Linked DNA regions of Nothobranchius furzeri. The protein of the gene in region 1 binds, or shares a complex with, the protein of each later gene. Links are inferred from orthologs where the notes say so. Each region holds a gene or a part of one and is shown on either strand. Other genes may lie near its edges.

Region 1 (2,814 bases):
ATTTATCATTTCTATGGATTTAATAACTGAACACTTTAAGAAATCTCCACTTTCCGACTGCTGGCGCTCATTTTCTCACCGTCTTCGTCGCGCTCTCCCCTCTCTCTCTCTCTCTCTCTGTCTCTGTCTCTGTCTCTCTCTCTCTCTCTCTCTGTCTCTGTCTCTGTCTCTCTCTCTCTGTCTCTCTCTCTCTCTCTCTCTCTCTCACCTTTTTCCTCCTCCTCATTCCCTCTCGTCTCCCTCCACCTGCATGTGCTCTGCTGTGTGTCTGAGTCTGATCCTCCCTCTTCCCCGCCCCTACTGCTCTGTGTGTGGACAGTCTGGACACACAGTTACACATGCTGACCAATCGCCTGTAGCTTTCACCAAAGCAAGAGGGAAGGGGGGGGGGGGGGCACGGCTCCCAATGATGAGCCGGCTCTTAGGGCCGGTTCGTTCGCGACCGACACATCACTAGCTGGTACCATATGATGTCACAATGTTGTTGTGAGCCTGTGTGTGTGTGTATTAGTTAGCGGCTCCGCCCTCTCGGTCTGCTAGGCAACAGCATTTGTTGCATTTTTCAAACAGGAAGTGGGAGTGGAGTTAGACTCTGGTAGGGGGTGACTTGCTCTTTAAGTTAAACTAAATGAAGCCTTTTAATGATCTTGGCTTAGCAGCAGCATCATAGCAACAAACCTCTCATCCCCGAGACTGAACTTTGGGTATCCGTGGATGTGCCTGACTTTAAACCGGCCTGAAGGATCTCTCTCTCTCTCTCTCTCTCTCTCTCTCTCTCTCTCTCTCTCTCTCTCTCTCTCTCTCTCTCTCTCTCTCTCTCTCTCTCTCTCTCTCTCTCTCTCTCTCTCTCTCTCTCTCTCTCTCTCTCTCTCTCTCTCTCTCTCTCTCTCTCTCTCTCTCTCTCTCTCTCGTCGTCTTCACCTACTCCTTTGGGGTGAACTGAACTCAGTTATGGACCCTCTACAGCTCTGTGGTAGCGTCTGTTGTCCTTTTATGAGGTTTATTATGTTTGGTGGAAGTGTAGAGAGGGTCAAGGGGACATTAATCAAGCTGGTCAAGAGGGAAAGGGCAGTCCAGCACTGTCCCTTGAGGTGTGTGGAGCAGGTTTGAACCCCACCCCCAGACAGCGGGACAGACAGACAACTGAATTGTCCTCTTACTCTGTTTTTGTTATGAGAGCGCTGGAACAGCCGTGTGGTAATAAAAGTTTATTCAGGTCATTACGGACCACCAGAGGGCAGCAGAGATCTCCCTCCTGAAGGTCCACTGACCTGACCTCATGTCTCTGAGCTCAGTTCCTTAGTAAGGCATTATGGGATGTAAGGATCTTATCTTTTAAAAGAGGTCTTAAAGAAACGATGGAAGCTCTTTAACCGTGAAGCTTCAGCCAGCCTCCATCAATACTCCTTTGAGGTTCTTCTGGGTCATTTTGTTCTGTTGGGGAACCCTCCCGACGACAACAACTGTTGGACCAGAACCTGATAGTTCTGCCAAATGACCAAATGATCGGATCAGAACCCATCCTCTGGGTTGGTCTGGATGATGCTGTTCAGGAACAGGTGGGTTCTGGTCATGTGACCGTCGTGGTGTTCCGTGTGTTAAGGCTGACGCAGCGAGGGACAGCAATCAGAGCCCGATGGTTCAGCGGAACAGCTCCTTCGCCACCTCTCATGAAGTGTGGAAGTACATCTGCGAGCTTGGAATTAGTAAGGTGACTGCTAACGTCCACCAATCACACATCACGCTCGCTGTAGTCCGTGTGTCTGACAGGTGTGTGTCCAGGTGGATCTGTCCATGGACGACATCGAGACCATTCTGAACACGCTCATCTATGACGGGAAGGTGGAGATGACCGTGATTGCCGCCAAGGAGGGGACGGTGGGCAGCGTGGACGGGCAGATGAAGCTGTACAGGGGCGTGAACCCCATCCTGCAGCCCACCGGCCTCGTCAAGACGCCCTGCGGACTCTGCCCGGTAACCACACTCATTAACATGGCTGCATCCTGCTCGTGGACGCGCCTGAACTCACCTGATCCTGTCTGCAGGTGTTTGATGACTGTCATGAGGGAGGGGAAATCTCTCCGTCCAGCTGCATCTACATGACCGAGTGGTTGGACTTCTGATGGCTATTCGGCCCACTTCTTTTCTCTGTGAGGAAACTTCATTCAGCCTGCTGTGATCCACAGTTTTTCTTTTTTTTATTTATCAGTCTTAATAAAGCAGCTCGTGTGAACCGTTTGATGCTGAGATGAGTTATTGTTCAGTCTGGTGTAAAATCTGCAGGAATCTTGGACTGTCTCTCTGACAAATGAAGATGGATGAAATCCCACCATCTCCAACTCCACCTCTCTAAAACTGAACTACTTGTCATCCCAGTGAAACCATCCATACAGCACAATATCTCAATCCAAAATCTATATCTGGCGCCTTCAAAGGCAGTTCGAAATCTGGGTGTTGTGATTGATGAACACCTGACCTTTAAAGATCATGTTGCCTCTGTTGCTCGTTCATGCCGCTTTGTGCTGTATAACATACGAAAGATCAGACCATACCTAACACAACATGCCACCCAGCTCCTGGTGCAATCTACCGTCATCTCCCGCCTCCATTACTGCAACGCCCTTCTAACTGGTCTTCCAGGCTGCACTGTGAGACCTCTTCAAATGGTCCAGAACGCAGCGGCGCGTCTGGTCTTCAATCAGCCTAAAAGAGCACACGTCACCCCTCTGTTCATTGAGCTCCACTGGCTACCGCTAGCAGCACGCATCAAATTCTAACCGCTAACACTAGCATACAAAGTCCGAGATGGTACGG
Region 2 (3,278 bases), on another chromosome or scaffold:
ACCTGATGGTACAGAAAAAAAAAACATTAAAATTGACGCCACCGATTACCATTTCTCTGCACACATCAGACCATCATCATCTAGAAAAGCTCACAACCCTGAGAGGACTTGCTGTTAGATTATGAAGATTTATTGCTGGTCTTAAATTTGGAAATACTTTGACAAGTTGAGCAAAATACAGTGAAATATTTTGAATATACTTTATTGACCTAACAAAATGCACAAGGTAGACGTGAGCTAATACTTCTACTGCTGTCCTCTTGTGTAACCAATATTAGGACAGAGTACAAATCACACAGCTTTAACATACAAGCAAGAAGAGACATCAGCAAGGACTTTGGGGAGATAATTTTGTCTTTGCTCTAATAAAAACTGTAATATGCAGTGATCTGCTGTTTTTACTCCATTGGAAGCTTGCAAATTGATTCATAAACACTTTGTAGTGCAAATGGGATCCATTTGAGTTTTAATAGGTATCTAAATAGACTGTTTGGAAATTGCAGGTGAGGTGTGTGTCCAAACTTTTGACTAAAGTAACAAAAGCTGCACAATGTATCACAAAACATCATCACTGTGACTGCTTCAGTGGCACACAAAAACAGCTTGATTCACAGTAGATGGGGACATGTTCATGTGACTGAATCTCCTTAATGCTATTGCTGAAAACACACCAGTGGTGAGTGATGTGTGGTAACAGAGTGAGGAAAATGAGGATTTAGCACAACTGTTATCGTCATCGCAATACCCAACGATATTGTAACAGTGTGATTTACTAAATCCTACAAAAGTATAATCCTGGCCCAAATATCTTCTACAATCGTCATTGGACTTTAAAAATAAAATAGACCAGCTCCAATGAGTGAATCTCAAATAAAGGTGACAACACACGTTTTCCTTCAGAGTAACTGAGGGCACTCAGAAATAACACCTGGATTGGCAGGTCGCAGAGTAAAGGGTCCTGCACAAGTCGAGCAAGTCCTTCTTCAAAAATATCCAGGATCTCAGAGTGAGGGAGAGAATCTTCATCGTCCTCCTCCTCAGCAGCTGCCTCGTTTAGGAAGCTCTCCTTTTTCACCTCCTCATCCTGCACTAGTTGCGCTCCTTCACCTCCTTTGACTACAGCAGAACCTGGACTCTGCTCCTCCTCCATCCGATAATCATCCAGCTATTGGGTACCTTCCGGGTTTCCTGCTAGAAAACGTCGTCTGGATACAATTTACCTGGACAACAATTACAGGTTTACTTCAAAACTGCTGCTAAAAAAGAAGAATTAGAACAGCAAAAGCCCGTATGTAACTGTGTGCAGTACAAACAAACTACCGGAACGGAAATGGACCTTATGTAAAAGGTTCCACTTGATGAAAATAAAAATGAACAGCTGCGTTAACATTTGATAAATACGTATTCTTATCATAAATTAATAACATTCATTTTAATATAGAATTGTTTACATACAATTAGGCATGTTGTTTAAACGATTAGCGACTTCCGGTTGTTTCCGTTCGAGCTGTTTTCATCAGTCGACTTCCGGTTTTCTCTACGCAGCAGATGGTTTCTGGTGAAATCACATTTAGATTCCATTTAGTTGATGGTTTGCGACCAAATTGATTACATTTAAAATGCTACTCTTTTGCCCTACCTGTGGAAACGTTTTGATCGTAGAAGAAGGACAGAAGTGTATGAGGTTCGCGTGTAACACCTGTCCTTACATACACAACATCACAAGAAAGGTAGGAGTCACCCGTAACTAAACCAGGTTTCATCATCTAGTTGGTGTCAGAAACACAAAATATTTGTCGTTAGGTTTGTAAGTTTAAGGTCTTGTTTTATTTCTCTTGAAGGTAAACAACCGAAAGTATCCCAAATTAAAGGAGGTGGATGATGTTCTCGGTGGGGCTGCTGCGTGGGAGAACGTGGATTCAACTGCAGGTAAATAACATTAAAATGACTTCCTGGAGTCTGCATACAAATGTTTAGCATATTCTTTAGTTTTAGTTAAGTAATTAAAGTGTTTTAACGCCTAAAATGAGAAAAGTGTACTTCCAATTTTCAATTATACAAACGGATTAATCCAGGATTTTCAGTTTTTCTTTTTGTTCAAGCCAAACCATTCAACAATCCTGATATCCTGTATCTTTATTTAGGTCATAGTAGAATTGGCTAGATGCTTAATAAACTATTATTTATCTCCTTAAAACAATTCATGATCCTTAAACAGGATTAGTGATTTCTTAAGATTAACATTCTTAAACTAAAACCTGGACATACCAGAGGTATTTGGGGTATAAGATGGTACATACCGGTGTGGCCTCTAAGCTGACATATTCCTTCTCTATCTCTGTACAGAAAAATGTCCCAAGTGTGAGCATCCTCGGGCGTATTTCATGCAGATTCAGACCAGATCTGCTGATGAACCCATGACAACTTTCTACAAATGCTGTAATGCCCAGTGTGGACATCGATGGAGAGACTGAAAGTTTTCTACTTGTAGTTATTTCAAATGTTCAGATGATTTCTGGCCTGGTTTTCCTTTTCTTCTGTATTTATTTGCACCATTTACTTTCCAGTTGTGATAAATGTTCCACATGACAAAGTGTTTACTTCATGATTTTTATTGGTAAAATAGCGCCTGTGTACAGTCACATAAATTGCGTACATAGTTGTACATCAGACATCTGGAGCGATGCAGACCAGCAGTTTTCACAACATGACTAAAGTTCCATTACAATCCTTCACAAAATGTGTTTTTTTGTTTTATATTTTGCACAGATTTTTCAGTCTTGAGGAAAAAAATATGCACAGAGTCGGAGCACATCAATGATTATTACTAAAGGTATAGCCCAGGCAAACTGCGAGAAGCATTAGTGGCTGATGTATCCCACATGCTGAGATGATTCACTGTTAGTGTTCAGAATCACTTTTGCAAAAGGTCTAATTCAACAACTTCATGAAGCTCATTAAAATCTCACTAATCAAATGTATTTCATTTCATCTAAGCGAAGAACCTTCATTTAGGTGAATCCTTAATGGCTTAGTACTCAGTTTTTAAAACCTCTTAAGATCAGCTAAATCTGAAATGGTGCTGCATGAGCCTGACAGAAAAACACACACCAAGATGTCATGCTTTCGTTTTTAAGTGATTAGCTTGTCTATCGCCTTCAGTACACTTGTGGACCATTCCCATCTGTACCGGGTCGGCCCGGGCCGGGTAGCGTAGGTTGTTTACATATCTGGGTGGCCTGGTATTTTTCCGGGCCAACCAAGGCTCATTCTCAGCC
Region 3 (3,759 bases), on another chromosome or scaffold:
AAATACAGACATTTGTATGATTTAGCTCTCAAAGATCACCGTGATCAACATGTTGTTAATCATTCTTGGAGAGAAATAGCTCGCACTGTCAGAAAAGACGAGGACGCTGTTAAAAATGCTGAAATGCCATGTTGTAAATAGTAATTTTTACTTCTACTATGGTGTAGTGTTAGATGCATGCCGTAGAGCTCCATGTTGCCCCGTTCAGTTTGGGAGAATATTGGCTCACCGCAGAGACAAGCCGCACGAACCATAAACGCTGCGAGTTGTGAAGCGCGTTCCATCCGCGAGCCGCATCACCAAGCGGAAAGTGAATGCGTCAAGCATAAACCAAGCTTTAGAGTTAAAGTTAGAGTTAGCCTTGTTTTAAATTGTTTAGAAATAAATCTTCTTAAACTTTAAAACTTGTCTCTCTCTTTGACTCTGGGTTATTACAAATTATTACCTAATCCCTGCAATAAAAAGTTCATATCTTCTGATTAAAGGTAGTATTCAAAGATACATCAAATTGATTCCATATTTTCTAAGGAATCTCACCTTTGATGGTTTCCTACGTAAGAGATGTAACTATCGATACACTACAACAGCAATGCGACTCTACCACTGATTATCATCTCCACAAGTAACACAAGCCTGGAGGAGCTTTTGCTGTGTGGTGGAGTTGCTAATGGTTAGCTTCTACTAGCTGAGACATTCTCTGCCGTTTCCTGGACGCTAAGCCAACAACAGCCTTCTCCGTCATGAATCAAGATGAGTGAGTCCATTAATGTTAAGTGACAGTGTGACTTAGATCTGTCAGGCTTTTCTAATCCTAGAGTTTCACCGTCTATTTTCCATCCGAAGCTAATGCAGCAGATAGACGTAGGAGACTATTTTCATGTTCAGCCTGCATGAAAAACTCAGAGACCGATTATAATCAGAAATATTCACTAAAAGTGTTCCACACCTTTAAAAGAACCACTTTTTTATAATTAACAAAGGATAAAATAGCAGCTAGTTCAAATGCCACGCACCAAACTCTTAGCGTGATTAAAATTAAAAAAATAATATTTTCCTTGTGTTGCGATACATTTTTAAAGTTTAAATTCTGTTTTGGGTGTCTTGATTCAACAAAAACATTTAATTTCCACAGTGTGTGTTTATTTTTTACTCAGTCTAGGTCTGAATGCTATTTAATATTTCTCAATCAAAGATTAAAGAAACTGCAGAGCTGGCAGGCAGAGCTACTGTGGATTTCACCGGTTATTACTGGTAGCCTGGTAGGTTGGGTTGCGTTTTGCACAAATTTTAACAAATTTAACGAGACTCACTAGCTGAATTTCTACTGCAGTTTGAGGTCGGTGGTTCAACAGCTGAAGTTTTTCTGCCCTGATGATGACAAAAACAAATCAGATTAACAGAAAAAGGCTAAATGTTAAGACAATGTCCATCGTATCAACACAACTAAATCAAAATAAAATGTTTATTAGATCTCACTGACTTTGTGAGTTTGTGGGGCATCATGGTGGTGAGGAACTCCTTGACAATCTCAGGACTTTGTCTGCTGGACGGCGTCTTCGACAGGTACTTAAGTGTCTGATGGCGAACCCACAGGAGATTATGTTTGTAATAAATATGACCAAAACATTTATATAAATGCAGGAAGAGAGATGTGACCTGACCTCATACATGATAGTGTTGAGGTTCTGCTGCCCGGCACTGTGTTTGCTCTTCCCCCCATCTTTCCTCTGTTCCTTCAGATCTATGAGAAGTTTGAACACCTGAGCAGTAAAAAAAAAGAAAGTAAAAGTTACAAACTGATCTGTTTGACTGAACAGTGAATAACACGTCATGCGAGGGTAAACCGACTATATTACCTCATAGTTGCTGAGCATTGCAGCACTTGAATTTTTGCTGAAAACACAAAAAGTTGAAAGTTTTGAATTGATGTAGTTGTTATGAGCTGCATGGAAGGGAGGAGCTGGTGCTGCTGCCTCACAGCGAAAAGGTTGCAGGTTCGAATTCCAGCTGCAGCCTTTGTGGAGTTCTCCACTGCATGCGTGTTTTCTCTGTATGGATACTCTGTTTCCTCCCACAGACCAAACGCATGCATCTCAGGTTAACTGTTGACTCTAAGTTGTCTCTACCTGTGAGTGAGTGCATGTGTCTCTGTGATGGACTAGAGAGCTGTCCCCTGTCCACCATCAACTCGGAATATAGAGGAATGAACAGTTAAGATGATTAATGCGTTTTTTGTCTCCATGTGGGTTAAGAAATTAAACCTATAAAAATGCAGTCGAGAGTAAAATATTATTCTGACCATTTACGAATCGTTTAGTAAAAATAAATAAATAAAAATCAGCTAAAAGTTTCATTTAAAAGAATTAAAAAGACTTTAGAAAAAAAGTCTTCAGTCATAACAAAAGGACCGTGTTGTTTGGCTTTAATGGTTAATACTGACTCGTTTTTTGTTTTTAAATTTTAATAAGCTAGGATGAACAGTTTTTCGTCCCAGACCGAACTGAAAATGTGTCTCTGCTGTTTCGCTAGCTCTGTTCGCTTTCATCCATCAATAATAAACCAAAAACTGAAAACTACGGCTTATAGTTGTTGTTAAAAACACAATTCACAACAGCTACTTAGCAAAGTCTCTTGCTAAAATAAACTAAATGAAAGGTAAAAATGAAATCCTTACACTTCCATTTATGCGCCCGGAACTGCGGTACGTTGTTACACCTTCCGTGGGGAAACGGAGAGCATGGATAAAGGTTCCGCCGACACAAATGTGAGGGGAGAAAAAAGTCTCGAAAGGTCTGCTTGTGTGTGTGTGTGTGTGTGTGTGTGTGTGTGTGTGTGTGTGTGTGTGTGTGTGTGTGTGTGTGTGTGTGTGTGTGTGTGTGTGTGTGTGTGTGTGTGTGTGTGTGTGTGATCGACAGGCGGATTGGTTCGGCGTCTGCAGTGAGCCGATCTGTCGTGGTGAAGAGGGAGCTGAGCCAGATTTCCTAATCTAACAGATTTTAAACATTAAAATACTCAACAGAAATAGTTCAGAAAGGAAATTAAAATGTTCACAACTTTGTGTGTGATTTATTAGTATTATCATGAGTATTTATTGTGGCAGAAGCTGGTGTGGTCCACCACTGAGAAGCTTCTCTAACATGAAGACTTTATTCTACAGGTTATTGTTCAGCCTTCTGATGCGCACGCACACACACGAGTGTTGGTGAGCGGCTGCGTCTGACTGCTGACGCTCCGTGTGTGTTTTTATTTTTGCAGTGAGACAAACTCACCTCACGCCGTCCAGAGTTTGTTCTTTAAAGCTTCTATTAAATCCACCGTGTTGATGATTTTAACACGTTTCCTCTACGCTGCAGGAGTTAAAGTTTACATTACGGAGTAAAAGTTCGGCGGACACGTTTGTTTATATTTGGCCGCTGCGCGCCAGGTGGGGGGAGGGGGGACTCGGTACTGCACACAGAAAGCTGGTGTGATCAGATCTGAAAAGCGTTGGTAGATCACGTTTATTTTTCACGGAGATCAGCTGCGGATTCCTCTTCCGTCGGCATTCTAGGAATCGAAACTTGGAATCTAAATAAAAAAATTTGAACGATTCCGGGAAAAACTAACAGTTGGTCCCCGTTCCAATCGATGCTCGATGCCCAACCCTAAATTGACTAATAATTTTTGTACTTGTAAACTGATCTGTGTGTCCTGTAGACTTGTCCGTGTGTACCAGGTGATTTGTGTGTGTGTGTGTTCAATGATTGTATGTGTAAGAAC

The links. Proteins that work in one complex are often made in the same cells at the same time.
Region 2: polr3f (region 1) and polr3k share a complex: the UniProt entries of both Homo sapiens proteins name them as parts of the RNA polymerase III complex. The link is inferred for Nothobranchius furzeri from reciprocal best matches to the Homo sapiens genes POLR3F and POLR3K.
Region 3: polr3f (region 1) and crcp share a complex: the UniProt entries of both Homo sapiens proteins name them as parts of the RNA polymerase III complex. The link is inferred for Nothobranchius furzeri from reciprocal best matches to the Homo sapiens genes POLR3F and CRCP.

What each region holds. Positions count from the first base shown.
Region 1 is NC_091746.1:29,572,733-29,575,546, reverse strand, and holds the end of polr3f (DNA-directed RNA polymerase III subunit RPC6), read left to right. Parts: intron 1-1,603; coding exon 1,604-1,711; intron 1,712-1,782; coding exon 1,783-1,974; intron 1,975-2,045; coding exon 2,046-2,123; 3' UTR 2,124-2,238; downstream 2,239-2,814. UniProt on the Homo sapiens protein: DNA-dependent RNA polymerase catalyzes the transcription of DNA into RNA using the four ribonucleoside triphosphates as substrates.
Region 2 is NC_091745.1:3,876,653-3,879,930, reverse strand, and holds polr3k (DNA-directed RNA polymerase III subunit RPC10), read left to right. Parts: upstream 1-1,476; 5' UTR 1,477-1,619; coding exon 1,620-1,730; intron 1,731-1,841; coding exon 1,842-1,929; intron 1,930-2,346; coding exon 2,347-2,474; 3' UTR 2,475-2,744; downstream 2,745-3,278. Other genes in the region: snrnp25 (U11/U12 small nuclear ribonucleoprotein 25 kDa protein), read right to left, coding at 1-2, 929-1,150. UniProt on the Homo sapiens protein: Core component of RNA polymerase III (Pol III) which synthesizes small non-coding RNAs using the four ribonucleoside triphosphates as substrates. Can mediate Pol I proofreading of the nascent RNA transcript.
Region 3 is NC_091750.1:56,809,997-56,813,755, forward strand, and holds the start of crcp (DNA-directed RNA polymerase III subunit RPC9), read right to left. Parts: upstream 2,798-3,759; 5' UTR 2,683-2,797; coding exon 2,675-2,682; intron 1,894-2,674; coding exon 1,857-1,893; intron 1,761-1,856; coding exon 1,662-1,760; intron 1,576-1,661; coding exon 1,481-1,575; intron 1,369-1,480; coding exon 1,311-1,368; intron 1-1,310. UniProt on the Homo sapiens protein: DNA-dependent RNA polymerase catalyzes the transcription of DNA into RNA using the four ribonucleoside triphosphates as substrates.